2 linked regions of the Rhinolophus ferrumequinum genome follow. The protein of the gene in region 1 interacts with the protein of each later gene in a pairwise test. Links are inferred from orthologs where the notes say so. Each region holds a gene or a part of one and is shown in the gene's direction. Other genes may lie near its edges.

Region 1 (7,673 bases):
GGCCACAGGAAGTGAGCGGGGTCCAGCTCCAGCCCCTCCGGCCAGCCCCGGAAGTGACCACGGTCCAGCTCCAGCCGGCACAGGAAATGACCACAGTCCAGCTCCAGCCGGCACAGGAGGTGACCACAGTACAGCTCCAGCCTGTGGCGGGCCAGCTGCCCAATCCCAGTGGGGGAGCTGTGACCACTGAGACCCCCAACCTGCTGGTGGTGCAGAGTGGGGCAGCAGAGGAATTGCTGGCGGGCTCTGGCCCTGGGGAGCCGGGTGACGGCGAGGCCAGCACTGGTGTGGTCCAGGATGTGCTCTTTGAGACGCTGCAGACGGACGAGGGGTTGCAGAGCGTCCTGGTACTGAGTGGGGCCGATGGGGAGCAGACCCAGCTGTGTGTACAGGAGGTAGAGACCGTCCCGTCAGGGCTGGCGGAGTCACCTGCCCCTGGGCCGCCAGGACAGAAACTGCTCATCATCCGCAGCGCGCCAGCCACCGAGCTGCTGGAGAATAGTGTTGGCGGCGGTGCCACCACGCTGCAACTGCTGGCCCCACCGCCACTTGGCCCAGCCTCTGCCCCTGCCGGCATCCCCGCGGGTCCCGCCTCCCAGATGGTACAAGTGGTCCCCGCAGGAGCTGTGCCTGGGGGCATGGCCCCTCAGGGCCTGCCCTCCATCCAGATTCTCCAGACGCTGCCCGCAGTCCAGCTAGTGCACACATTTTGAGTAGAACCACTGGTACCTCTTCCTGCCCCACAGAGACCCAGACTCTGTCTGCTTGGGCTGAACTGGGGGCAGGAGAGCTGCAGGCTGGGCTTCTAATAAAGACCAGAATCTCCTCTCCTGTGTTTTGTTTTCTTGGGGTGGGGGAGGGCAACGTCATGGCCATAGCAACTGCTTGGGAGCTTGGAGTCTCATCTCTTGCATCCTGGCTCGCAGTTGAGTTGCTTGGGGGCCAGCCACTTCTACGTGGGGCTCTGTTTACTATTAAAAAGGGGATGCAGTGGTCACTAGAGTGGGGAGATGTGGAATTTAGAATCCTGCTCTGCCACCTGTTCACTGTAACTCCACCTCTCCCCTCATTTGAAAAGTCTGTGGTGGGGGGAGGGGAATGCTTGTCCCGAAGGTCACTGAGCCCGGTGGGTTGGGACGGAGGTCCCTGGGGTGAGCCAGTTTGGGAGCTGGTGGGCTCAGGATGCTGAAGCGGCCCCTCCCACGAAGCCCTGGGCACCAATGAGAATTGATTCTCTCCTATCACCGCCCCCACCCGGCACTCAGGTTGCTTAGCAACCAGGGAACCTCGAAAAGCGAGCGTGCGCACCCCCTCAACTGGCCGGTAAGTACAGCTCCCAGCTCCCACCCCGCCAGCGTCTGCTACTCCCGCCGCTGTCGTCTTACGGGTCCCCTTTCTCCATCGCTCTTTCGCTCCCTACCCCACATCCAGCAGAGTCCCTGCGCCCTGCCCTAGCCCCTCCTCAACCCCCTGCCAAGCTTGGCAACAGTTAAGACCGAATGCAGGCACCACACTGCACCGCCTCCAACGTGCGCGGTCTGACGTCACTTCCGCCGGCGACCCCTTTCCTGACCCTGTCCTCCCTCCCCATACCTTGTCAAAGAATCGGAGCCACCGCAGAGGTGTTTGTAGGTTCTTGCTCCAGCAGCGACTGTGGGGCGGGACGCTTGGGTTTGGGGAGCTTGGTCCATTACCTGGCCTTGGGGTGGGGGTTCGATGACCTCCCCCTGTAGAAGCCCCGGAGCCTGGAAGGGGGCCCTGTATAGCCAGGTGTTGGTGTCTGCAAGGTATTTAGGGTAAGATCGCTGAACACCACGGGTTGGGGGAGTGAGACCTCAGGAGACGTTAGGAAGGTGGCTGGGTGAAGGGGGCAGCCTGTCCTGCGTGGGATCTCGCTTGGGGCATCCCAAGCATCCTCACTGTCCTCATCTGATACATGCTGCTGCTGGTCCCCACCCCTGGGGCTCTTGGAGACCAGAGGTGCCCTCCTGACGTTGATCTGCTTGTTTTCACCAGGTGCACGCCTGCTCCCTGGGGGCACGGGGACTGCCATGGCCCCCAGCCACCTTTCAGTGCGGGAGATGAGAGAAGATGAGAAGCCCCTGGTGCTGGAGATGCTGAAGGTGAGTACAGCAGGGGCACCTGGGGGTAGGGGCAGCACGGTGAGCCAGCTTTTCCTTCGAAGCCACTTCTGGCTTGGCCCCTTCTCCCTCTAGTGCCTTCTGCCTACCCCTGCGGTCAGGAGGGTTTTAATGCTGGAGGGCTGTGGGGTCTGTCTCCTCCCCGACACTCCTCAGAGCAGAGCCTGGGTCTCAGCCCTGTACTCATCCTCTGCTCCAGCAACAGAGCATGCCCATTTTCTGGCCGGGGGGCAGTCGCCCATTTTCTGGCCGGGGGGCAGTCGCCCATTTTGGTCTGATCTCAATCTTCCCTGGTGCCTCCCGCACATTCTTCTCCTGAATTGGGTGTCCTCACAGTTCCTAATTCATTCACTCATTCTCTCACTCATTCATTCACTCATTCAAAGCCCAGTGTGCCAGATGTAGTGTTTGCTGGTGCACAGAGCAGATGTGGTCCAGGCCCTGCCTGTCCTTCTACCACAGGCCCAGTCCCTTTTCCTTTGGGAGCCCCCACCCTGAGTCCCTCCTGGGTAGGGTCTTCTCCCTCTCCTTGTTCCTGGTGTTCACGGGGGCCCTCGCTGATGGGAGGCCCAGTCCCCTGCTCTGACTGCGCCTCCTACCCACAGGCTGCTGTGAAGGATACGGAGAACCGAGTGGCCCTCCACGCCCTGACACGGCCGCCTGCGCTGCTGCTCCTGGCGGCCGCCAGCAGCGGCCTGCGCTTCGTGCTGGCCTCCTTTGCCCTGGCCCTCCTCCTGCCTGTGTTCCTGGCTGTGGTGGCCATGAAGCTCGGCCTGCGTGCCCGGTGGGGCTCGCTGCCTCCACCAGGTGGCCTAGGGGGGCCCTGGGTGGCAGTGCGCGGCTCAGGTGATGTGTGTGGGGTCCTGGCCCTGGCCCCAGGCTCTAACTCTGGGGATGGGGCCCGGGTCACTCGCCTCTCTGTCTCCCGCTGGCACCGCCGCCGAGGCGTGGGCAGGCGGCTGCTGGCCTTTGCCGAGTCCCGGGCACGTGCCTGGGCAGGGGGTATGGGGGAGCCCCAGGCCCGCCTCGTGGTCCCAGTGGCTGTGGCGGCTTGGGGCGTGGCAGGGATGCTGGAAGGCTGCGGCTACCAGGCTGAGGGGAGCTGGGGCTGCATGGGCTACACACTGGTAAGGGAGTTCAGCAAGAACCTGTGACTCCAACGTACGCACCTACTGTGTGCGGGCACTTTCACATTCTCCCTGTGCGAATCCCCAGCCTGCCCAGGGCCCAGAAACTGAGGCCTGCAGAGGGAAAGACAGCCTGAGGTCTGAGGTCTGTCTTTCGTGTCTGAATTTCTCAGAGTGGTCAACCTATCTGGCCTCCTGCCTCAGATTCTGTCTGCACTGAGACATCTCCCCAGTCTGTCTCTGCAAAGCCTGCACCGTTTGTGGTACCAGCCTGGGTGACAGAGAGGAGGAAAGGAGTCTGAGCAAGTGTGCCTCCCCAAGGGTTAGGAGTTGGGGCAGGGACACCCCAAACTGGGATGAGGCCCCCACCATGAATGGGGTGGGGTTTGATGCCTGTGCTTGGAGAGGATGAGTCTGGAGCCAGAGGGGATGAGCAGAGCCTCTGCGAGGAGGGTTGTCTCCTAGAGAGGCCCTGCAAGGAGGGGGTGGGCACAGGAAGGCCGGCGGCCCCTCCCTGGGGGAAAGGGACTGCTAAGAAGGGTGGCCAGACCTGTCTGGTGTTTTTATACCCGATTGTTAATAAAGCCTGAAACTGCTCTGCGCCTGGCTTGCTCTCTCTCTGATGCCTTTTCCAGTCTGTCTTGGAATCCCTCCTTCAGTCTGGCTCCTCCTTTCCTGAGTTGACATTAATTGGTGGTGGTGGTGCTGGCTCAGGAGAAAGGGAGGCATGAGCTCACGGCAGCCTCGCTCCTAGCCAGCCCTCTGACTCACGCTCCCCATTACCGAGGTTTTCCGCCTCCCAGCTGCCTGGTGCCCAGAGAGTGAGTGTGTGTGCACATTCAGTCACCTCTAGCACCCAGGCCTTGACCTGAGGTCTGCCCAGTTCCCCACCCCAGTTGCCTCGGGGTTGGGGGACATATAAGTTCAACCACTTCTCCCTCAGATGGGGGGCTTTGCATCCAACTCCACGCTGGGGAACAGAGTCTCCTTTCCCAATCTAGGAAGTCCTTCCTGGTGTCTGGCTGGAAGCCTCTTGCTGCTGAACCTTGATCCCCAGCTGTGCCAGGTCTCAAAGGCCCACAGCTCCTGTGAATCTACCCTCTAGCCCCTACACCCTGGTCCAATCCACATTTTCCTGCTTGGATAAGAGAGGAAGCAGACGGGTGGGTGCCTCGCCCATGTCGTCCCTTCCCTGAAGCCTGCCCTCCGTCCTCTAAGCATCTCTACGCCCCGCATGCCTGGCTGGCCTGTGTGGGTGTTTGCAGTTGGACATCCTCCCTCCAGCCCGCCACCCCCCTCCCCCCCCAGGCCTCAGCCGCTGGCCAGCCCCCTCCCCGCCCCCCTCCTGTCCCCTGCTGCCTCCTCGGCAGCCTTTCTTGCTCCTGGCAAAGCGTCTAGCTCCTGCCTGCTCCTCCCGGGTCCAGGGCGCTTCAGCAGGCGCTTCCCCCCTCCCTCCAGTGGCGGCTGCCTTCTGCCCTCTCCTGATCCTCCCCTCTCACCCCATCTTTGCCCTGGACTCTGCAAACATGAGGGTCTTGGCCTGCCTCCTCGGTGAGTGACCCATTCTCCTTGGGGACTCGGGGGCCTGGGCCCCACCCTCTGACCCCTGAGCTCCTGCAATTGAGGGGCCCATTCTTCCAGGGCCCATTCCTGGTGCTTGGGGACACAGGACATCTGCCCTCCCTACCTGACCGCCCAGGGACCCAGCCTTCTATATGCCAGTCCCACCCTCTTAGGAGGCCCAGCGACCTACTCATCCCCACCACCAGGCTTGACCCTTTGGGGGGGTCACACACAATTTGACCTTTAGCCAGGCCTCTCTCTGGGGGAGCACAAGGGCCTGGTCCCCAGCCCTGACCTGTTGCATCTGGGGTCCTGCCCCTCCACCCTCGAGTCCTGCTTTCTTCCCAGTAGGGGTTTCTGGTTCAGAGGTGCAAGGATGTGTGTGTGTGTGTGAGTGTGTGCGCGTGCGCGCGCTGGGGTCAAGACTGGGGAAGGGACCCCTGGACCTGCCCCTCACTGTGTCCCACCCCTCCAACCTCCCTTCCAGTGGCTCTGATGGGGATCCAGGCTGTTGGTAAGTGTCCCCAAACACTCCTCTGTCTGGCCTCACCCAGCTCCAAGCCCATCCCATTCCCAGCCTCGCCCTCCCCTGGGATCCTGGCCACCTACCATCTGGTGATGACCTCAGGCACCATTCCCCCAGAACTACCGCGGCAGTCAGCCACCCGCTTCCTGCAGGGACCAGGGTCTCTCACCACTACTTTCCTGGACCCCAGGCTTTGGGGTACCCACCAGCAACAGGATACTGGCCTAGTCGCACTCTGGAGGGCTACCCTTTGCCCCAGGGCTTCCAGGATGTCACACCCTTTCCTCCGTTCCCCCAGAGCGGTTGCGGCTGGCCGATGGCCCCCACGGGTGCGCGGGCCGGCTGGAAGTGTGGCACAGTGGGCGCTGGGGGACGGTGTGCGATGACGGATGGGACCTGCGGGACGCCGCAGTCGCCTGCCGGGAGCTGGGCTGCGGGGCGGCACTGGCCGCCCCCGGAGGTGCCTTCTTTGGGGAGGGTGCAGGTCCCGTGTGGCTGAGTGAGCTGGCCTGCCGGGGCGGCGAGGGGCAGCTGGGCCTGTGCCCCCACCGAGGGTGGAAGGCCCACGTCTGTTCCCATGAAGAGGATGCAGGCGTTGTCTGTGCAGGTAAGGACCCCAAATCCTCAGCCCAGTCACTCTGAGGGTCTAGAAGTCCCAACATTCCCTCCAGAGCCAGGGGTCTTCCTCCAGGACCCCAACTTATCACTGCCCAGGGATCCTGGCCCAGCCTCTCCCAGGGCCCACCCTCTGGAGCTCCCCTGCTCTCCGCAGGTCAGCGTGTGGCTAACTCGAGGGACATGGACGGTTCACCTTCGTTCCTGGATGGGGACCCCTGGCAGGGGCTGTCTGGGGAGCTGAGTCCCAGCTCTGAGGAGCCCCCTGTGACACACAGTGAGCCCACCCACCCATGTCCCCTCCTGCTTCAACCGTGGGGGAGAGGGGCCTTCCACATTCATGTTGCCCAGGGGGCAGACAGATGCCCATCTCCTCGCCAACCCCGAGGGTCCTGGCTCAGCCCCCCAGGCAGGAGTAGGGTTGAGCGGCTCCCTCCCACCCTCCTTACTGTCTCTTCTTCCAGCCCCCCGCCCAGCTGGGACCCCCCAGAGCAGCTCCCGGAAGAAAAGCCCCCGGCCTCCCAAGCAGGCCAAGTCCACCAGAGCCCCTGCACTGATGGCTGGAGCCCCACACCACGGTAAGTTCCTTGCAGGCCTCCCCTCTGCAGATCTGGACCAGCTTGGGCCCCCTGCGTGTCCTCCTGAGTCAGGCCTGGTCCCCCACCCCACCCCACCCGGTCAGGGAACCCAAGTGTCTGTTTCGAGCACCCAGGCACCCTGCCCCACTTACATTCTCACTCTCCCTGTAATGGCCAGGCTGGCAGATCTCAGGCCACTGCCCTCTCCAGGCCTCAGTTTCCCTAGATGGAAAACGAGGGGTGTTTAAATCCACTTATCCCGGCTGCTTCACACAAGGCTCCTGTCCATCCCCACAGAGCGGCTGCGCCTGGCCTCGGGCCCCCACGGTTGTGCAGGTCGGCTGGAGGTGTGGCACGGTGGGCGCTGGGGGACGGTGTGTGACGACGGATGGGACCTGCGTGACGCAGCTGTGGCCTGCCGGGAGCTGGGCTGCGGGGGGGCACTGGCTGCCCCAGGAGGGGCCCGATTTGGCCCAGGCTCAGGGCCTGTGTGGATGGATGATGTGGGGTGCGGAGGTGGAGAGCAGGCCCTGAGGGACTGTCCCCGGAGCCCTTGGGGTCGGAGCAACTGTGACCACAGCGAGGACGCAGGGCTGGTCTGCACAGGTGCGTTTCTTCCCTGGGCCTGGATCTGCCCACAGCACAGTGGCATCTGCAGTGTCTCCCTGGGTGTCTGAAGCATAGTGTGCAGAGGAGCACAGAGCTGGGGGCCAGGGACAGTGAGGGGTCCCTCCATGTGCCACAGGGTGGGAAGCACGTGGGGCCCAGTTCCTGGGAGATAAGTTGAGGCTTCAGAGAGGGTTACATTGTCGGGGAGAAGTGAACCCCACTGAGGTGCCCGGGGGAGCTCAATGCCTTAAGATCTTTAATACTTCAGTGCGACCCTGTAGGGGAGGGCCTGTCATTTCCGAGGAGAAGTAAGTGCAGGCATTTCTGGCCTCTCTCTGGCCTGCAGTTCCGCCTCCCTGCATACTGACTGGTAGAGAGATGGATTCCACATTCCCCCAGTGGCATCTCAGCTTTTATTCCAGAAAGACCCAACAGAAATGAACCCTAAAACTGACGAGAGGTCTAGACTAGTGGTTTTCCACGTGGGGTGATGAACAATTATCCCATTCCCCAG
Region 2 (7,053 bases), on another chromosome or scaffold:
GGAGGCAAAAGTTGACCAGGCCCAGAGACAGCCGAGGGGCTGGGGAATAGCGGGGTATCTCTTAGAGCCACTCTCCCACTTTAGGATCTAAAATGCCCCTGGCCAGACAGAACCTCCCCAAGAGCCTAGGCTGTTATGGCCTCCAGGCCCACCATCTTGCCAGGTGAGACTGTGCCTGTGGCCCCAGAATGTTCCATCTGGTCCCAGGAGTATAGCGCACCCTACCTCCTTTCCCTCGCCCCACTCTGGGACATGTACCTACGAGCTTGTCTGACCCCTTTGGTCCTCCCTCTATGCCCCTGCTCCCCCCTCACCCTCGTGGATTTAGTCATCATGTAATTATTTGCTTATTTGTTCATCACAGATTTGTTGGGCACCCTCTCTGCGTCCAGCTGGATGCCTGAGAGGCAACCCTATAGAAGACAAGCCCAGGTCTTCCTGTCACCTGCATGATAGCATCTGTCCTGGAGGCCTAGCTTTCCTCTCACTTTGTCACTCATCTGTGAAGACCAGTTGCTTCTTCCCTGCCTTTGATCTGCCCTCAGCTGGGCTCCATCCACCTGGTCACTCCTTGGCTCCAGCTCTGACCTGTGAGGTCCTTCTTTTTGGCAGTGGGCCCTGCTCTCTGCTGGCCACTTCACAGGCTCCAGCAGGAAGACTCAGGATCCAGCTTTCCAGCCCTCCCATTCCAGGGTCACACTTTTCCTCCATCCCTCAAGTGGGCATTGTTCCCTGGTGACGTCCCAGTCTTTTTGGGGACCTGAATTCAAACCACTGTACTCAGGGGACATTTGATTCGTGGTTGTGAAAATGATTTTAAAGCTCACCTGAAAAAAATAAACAAAATGAGAATATCTAGGAAGTTTTTTTCAGGGGAAAAAAAAAGGCCAAGAAGGAAATATTAAACATTAAATATACAATTAAGTTGAACCAGGCTTGCATACCTGAAATAAATCCCACTTAGTCATGGTAGGTAATTCTTTTTACACATTGTTGGATTTTATTTGCTAATATTTTGAGTATTTTCGCATCTGTATTTATGAGAGATACTGGTCTGTAGTTTTCCTTTCTTGTAATGTCTTTCTCTGGTTTTAGGATTAGAGTAATGCTGACCTCATAGAATGAGTTTGGAAGTATTCCCTCTGCTTCTATCTTCTGAAAAAGATTGTAGAGAATTGGTGTCATTTCTCCATAAATATTTGGTAGAATTCATTGGTGAAACCATCTGGGCCTGGTGTTTTCTGTTTTGGAAGCTTATTAACTGATTCAATTTCTTTAATAGTTATAGGTCTGTTAAGATTATTTGTTTCTCCTTGTGTGAGTTTTGGTAGATTGTATCTTTCAAGAAATTGGTCTGTTTCACCCAGGAATCAAATTTGGGGGCATAGTGTTATTCATAATATTCCTTTATTAGCTTTTTAATGTCCATGAGATCAGTAATGATGCCCCTATTTCATTTCTGGTATTAGTAATTTGTGTTTTCTCTCTTTTTTCTTGCCTGACTAGAGGGTATCAATTTTATTGATCTTTTCAAAGAACCAACTTTTGATTTCCTTGATTTTTCTCTATTAATTTCCTGTCTTTGATTTCATTGATTTCTGCTCTAATTTTTATTATTTCTTTTCTTCTGCTTATTTTGGATTTAATTTTCTTTTTCTAGTTTCCTAAGGTGGGGGCTTAGATTACTCATTTTAGATCTTTTTTCCCCCTAATGTATGCATTCAAGCTAGAAATTTCCGTCTAAGCACTGTTTTCACTGCACCTCACAAATATTCATTAGTTGTGTTTTCCTTTTCATTTAGTTCAAAATTAACCATGAGATGCCATGTTTCATTTATCAGATTAGAAAAAATGTTAAAGTTTGATAATACATAGTGTGGGTTAAGGTGTGGGAAAATAGGCACATTTATACCTTACTATTGGAAATATAAGTTAGTTCACCATTTTGGATGGCAATTTGTACATATCTATAAAACTTTTAAAGGTTATATACATTTTAATTTAGTAATGTATAGATAAGATGTCCATACAGAAGTGATCATACACAAGCCATCTGTATATGGGATAGAATTTCCAATAGCAAAAGACCCAAGTGTCCATTAATAGAGGATTGCCTGAATATATCTATTCAATGAAAGTCTATACAGAGAATGGAGTATATCTAATACTAATATTGAAAGATGATTAAGGTATACTGTTAAATGAACAAGCAGGCTACAGGAAAGTGTGTTTAACGTGATAGCATTTGTGTTCTGTTTTAAAAAAAAATAGAAAGAAGAGCTTATTTTATGCTTGATTCGTATGAACACATCTGGAAACACATCATTGCTGTTCCCTCTGGGACAGAGGTGCTTGAGGGTCGAGGAAGAGCAGGGCACCTTTTGTTTTTCACCATGTACCTTCTTTACCGTTTGAGTAGGATTACATTTAATTTGAAAAACTAGTTTTAAAACCAAATTGCAGATTTGAGCCCACAGGAGGCTGAGAGCACGCTCAACCTTTCCTTTGCTCTCTCTTCGTTGTAAGACAGCATGCAATAGGCTGTCCACTCCTGGGCTTTGTACACCCTGGTCCTTTCTCTCATTTTATATCTAAGAGGAGTTAAAAAAAAAAAAAAAAAAAAAAAAAAAAACAAACAAACAAACAAAAAAAAAACTCTTGACCACTCTGCCAGATGGCACTGTTGATGGCTGGTGGTTTCGAAATGAGGAAAAGAGACTATTTTTGATCATTACAGAAAAAAGTAAAATTTGTTCTCTTAGAAGTGTTTTGATAGAAAGGTAATTTAAACTCATCATCTTTAAAAACTAGAGAAACTGAACATCCCTTGTACTCTACTACTTACTATTTTAGTGTTTTGTGCTGTTTCCCTGAATGTTTTTTTTTTCAATGCATCTATCATATTTTAAATGGCTGTAATCCCAGGGAACATACACTGTTGTGGTTGTTTACGTCATAGCATCCACATTTTCAGATGGCTACAGGGCCAGGAAACATTAATTTGGAGGAATGTTACACTTGATTCCTCAGAAAGAACACAAAGTCTGGAATTAGGATGTTACCAAAGAACACGCTGTTGGGGGAGGGAGCTCTTCCTCCCTCCCTCCCTCTGGAAAGAGAATCTCTCTGAGCGGGCAGTGGGGCACTTGGCTGTGATTGGCACCTTTGTGCTGTGTACAAGTTTGTGAAGGAAAATCAAGGCTTCTGAGGCTGCAGCTGAAATACTACTTGCTTCTTTTGGTAAAGCAGCTTGTGTTGAGGATAGTTGGGGAACTACAGCTTTTATAGATTCAATGTCTACTTGTCAACACATGCTTGACATTGGGTTGAGAATAATTTAAACATCTTTCCATTCTGTCTACCTTTTCCTAGATATGGTGGTCATAAATATACCCTGCTATTCACACTGGATTTTCTTGAAAATCAGATTGGCAGCTTTGCATAGCAACAAACAAAACTCCTGAGCTACCCAGCATGGGGGGGCGGGGTGTAGAGGAGAACCCTCTCCCAGCCAGCTGTGTTGATTTAGTGCAGCTGACTCTAAGCTTGAGCTTCCTCATTGGCAGAAGGAAGGCAACAGCTGTGCCCAAAGTTTATTGTGAGGATTAGACAAGATAACGAGTAAGGATGGTGTTTGTAGCAGAGATGGGCAAACAGAAGACTTTCAATACATGGCAGCTGGCTACCAAATTAACTTAGTGAAGGAAATTTAAGAAGATACAAAAAGCACACACGTATATAGTTCATTTACAAAAATGCAATGATACTATACAAAATTCAAAGTATTCAGTCATAGAGGATTCCCTTCCTAAGACCTATACAGCAAGATGTTTTCAATATTTTTCTTGAGCATCTACTATGGGCTAGGTGCTGTTCAGAAAGGTTAAGTGTTGAGTGAAGCTCTCCGGGCTGGTCCACAACAGCCACACTTCCCAGCCACACCCAAGATGGCTACTTGCTCCAGCCGGTCACTGGGCTCCGCGCAGGAGCACTTCCGCCTGCCTCTCCCAACATGGCACCACCAGCGAGCTCTGGGGCGGGGCCAAGGGCGGAAATGGGTGTGATAGGGACGGGAGCCGAGAGGGCACGCACTCTGAGACAAAATACTGGAAGTGGGAGCCTCAGGGTCGAAGGGATGATTCCCCCGCAGGAGGCGTCCGCCCGGCGGCGGGAGATCGAGGACAAGCTGAAGCAGGTGGGACTGGGGCTGGGAAGGTGGTGGAGGAGGTGAGGGAAGGAGCCGAGATCCGGGCCGGGGCATATACTCACGGAGGAGGCAGGGGTGGGTGGGAGCGCTCCCTTCAAGGAGATGGGGTTGGGGGCGAGAGCGCGGTGATCTCCTTTAGCTTCCGGCTTCTGCTACTATCGTCCCCTCCGCTTCCCCAGGAAGAAGAGACGCTGTCCTTCATCCGAGACAGCCTGGAGAAGAGCGACCAGCTCACCAAGAACATGGCAAGTAACGCCTCGGCTGGGAGGGGCTGACAGGCCTCCAGACCTTGGGGGGGAGCCCTGCGACCTGCGGTTCGGTCTATAAGGCCTGAGGTTCTGGCCCGGCTAATGATGGTGGTCGCGTGTGGGTTTCTCTAGCAACCGTGTGGCTTGTCTCTTACTTCGCTGCCTTCCCCTTGTCCGCCGCTTCACTGAGGATGCTGCAGCCCCTCTGGCCTGGACTTTCTGCTTTCTGTTCAAGTTCTCCATTCTTCCTTCTGTCTTTCTGCAAACATTTAGTGAGACTGACTTTGGTGGGCTGGGTACTGGTCACGTGGCAGCCTTCAGTTGGAGGGATGGTGGGATGGGAGGGATAGAGCACTTCCAAGATGAGGAGGGCAGGGGAACTCAGCCGTCACGCCTGGAGGGCTGTAGGGGTAGAACAAGCTTTGAAGTCAGATAGATCTAGGATCTAGCCCTCCCCCTCCACTTATTTGTGTATGGCTCCTGACAGGTAACTCTGGGCTTCAGTTAACGCATCCGATAAGACAGCCACTGTCAACCTCCCAGGGTGGCTGTGAAGGTCATAGGAGCTAATGCATGGGCTAACACATCTTGCACAGTACCTGGTATACAGTAGGTGCTCAACAGATAGCAGTTTCCTTCCTTATTTTCAGAGGAGACTGGAAAAGCACAAATTGAGTAAATACAAACTTGGGTATGTATTTAATAACATAATCGTAAAGTCCTATTCCTTATTGAATGACACTCCCCCTTAGAGAGGGAGGGTTTTGAAGGTACCAGCAATGCATTTGAGCCCCTCTATATGAAGTTACTTCCTGTTCAGTGTAGGAAAGCTTCAGAGAGAACAGAAATAGAGATTTAGCTTCAAAGGGTGGAAGGGAAGCCATCCTGGGGTGATTAACTTAGAAGAAGTTAATTTGCTGCTTGGCTTGCCTTCAAATCAAACTTCATCCAATTTATTTGAACCACCTCCTATGGTTCGGCACATGGGACGTGCTCAGGCTACAGAGATGAACAGGTACACCCTGCCCCTTCCCTCACAGAGCTTGGTGTCTAGAAAACCAGAGAAAAACGCAGCAAATGCCACGACCCGATGGGTAGAAGCGGTGCTGGGACCACCCTGAGGTCTGAGAGCACGGGGCTTCCCCCGCAGGTGTCTATCCTGTCATCCTTTGAGAGCCGCCTGATGAAGCTGGAAAACTCCATCATCCCTGTTCACAAGCAGACAGAGAACCTGCAGCGGCTGCAGGAGAATGTTGAGAAGACTCTGTCCTGCCTGGACCACGTCATCAGCTACTACCACGTGGCCAGTGACACTGAGAAGATCATCAGGGAGGGGTGAGCCAGGGCCAGAGGGTCACATTCCTAACGCCTCCTGGACCAGTGGCCATAGGCCTTGGGAGGGAGGGGTGGAATGTATTTGAGCCTGGAGTCCCTTGTGTTACTTCTTTTCTTTCCCCTTTCTATTACCATTCCCTTGGTCCTTCTCTTCATCTTCCATCCACCCAGGCCGATCTGGCTCTTTTCCTTCCCAGCCCCACAGGTAGGCTGGAAGAATACCTGGGAAGCATGGCCAAGATTCAGAAGGCTGTGGAATATTTCCAGGACAATAGCCCAGACAGCCCAGAGCTCAACAAAGTGGTAAGGGACCAGCAGGGTAATATGAGAGCGATGGGGACACCAGTCACTGCCCTGGTCTCAGGAGAGACTAAGCCAGCTTCAAAAAGGCTATAGTAGAATAAACAGAACTATATAATACAGTTCACAGACTGTAGTCATGAAGACCTCTGCCTCAGGAATGACATCATACGTTTTTGTTACATTTGTATAATTTAACTAAATTATAAATTACATATAAAATGTAAATTTAACATTTGATTTATATAAACGCATTTGTGGGGTTTTTTTTAATGTGGTAAAAATACATAACATAAAATTTATAATTTTTAAAGTTATTTTTGATTACAGTGGACAAACAATATATTCATTTCAGGTGTACAACATAGTGATTAGACATTTATATAATTTACAAAGTTATCACCCCAATAAGTCTGGTACCCATCTGACATCATGCGTACTTATTGCAATATTGACTCTATTCCCTATACTGTGTTTTACGTTTCCGTGACTCATTTAATAAGTGGCGGTTTGTATTTCTGAATCCCTTTCACCTTATTCACCCATCCCCCCAACACCCCTCCCAACTGACGAGCGCCAATTTGTTCTCTGTGTGTATGAGTTTCTTTCTGTTTTGTTCGTTTGTTTATTTTGTTGTTCAGATTTCACGTGTAAGTGAGATCAGATGTTATTTGTCTTTTCTCCGTCTGACTTATTTCACTCAGCATAACACTCTCTAGGCCCATTCATATTTTAACCATTTTGAAGTGAACACTTCAGTGGCATGAAGTACTTTCACATTGCTGTGCTGCCATCACCACCGTCCATCTCCAGAACCCTTTTCATCCCAAACTCAAACTCTGATCCATTCAACAGTAACTCCCCTTTCTCCTCTCCCTCCAACCCCTGGCAACCATTATTCTACTTTCTGTCTCTATAAATTGGACTATTCTGGGAACCTGAATTCATGTTTTTACATTTGAC

The links. The genes of interacting proteins can lie anywhere in the genome.
Region 2: the proteins of SSC5D (region 1) and EXOC7 interact in binary tests that used the Homo sapiens proteins (3 or more experiments, as listed by UniProt). The two-hybrid records come from large-scale screens. The link is inferred for Rhinolophus ferrumequinum from reciprocal best matches to the Homo sapiens genes SSC5D and EXOC7.

The regions. Positions count from the first base shown.
Region 1 is NC_046298.1:48,596,005-48,603,677, forward strand, and holds the start of SSC5D (soluble scavenger receptor cysteine-rich domain-containing protein SSC5D), read left to right. Parts: upstream 1-4,660; 5' UTR 4,661-4,794; coding exon 4,795-4,819; intron 4,820-5,318; coding exon 5,319-5,345; intron 5,346-5,655; coding exon 5,656-5,964; intron 5,965-6,129; coding exon 6,130-6,249; intron 6,250-6,436; coding exon 6,437-6,550; intron 6,551-6,847; coding exon 6,848-7,156; intron 7,157-7,673. Other genes in the region: ZNF628 (zinc finger protein 628), read left to right, coding at 1-713; NAT14 (probable N-acetyltransferase 14), read left to right, coding at 2,052-2,123, 2,747-3,295.
Region 2 is NC_046304.1:50,885,332-50,892,384, reverse strand, and holds the start of EXOC7 (exocyst complex component 7), read left to right. Parts: upstream 1-4,037; 5' UTR 4,038-4,054; coding exon 4,055-4,195; intron 4,196-4,386; coding exon 4,387-4,452; intron 4,453-5,605; coding exon 5,606-5,790; intron 5,791-5,987; coding exon 5,988-6,093; intron 6,094-7,053. UniProt on the Homo sapiens protein: Component of the exocyst complex involved in the docking of exocytic vesicles with fusion sites on the plasma membrane.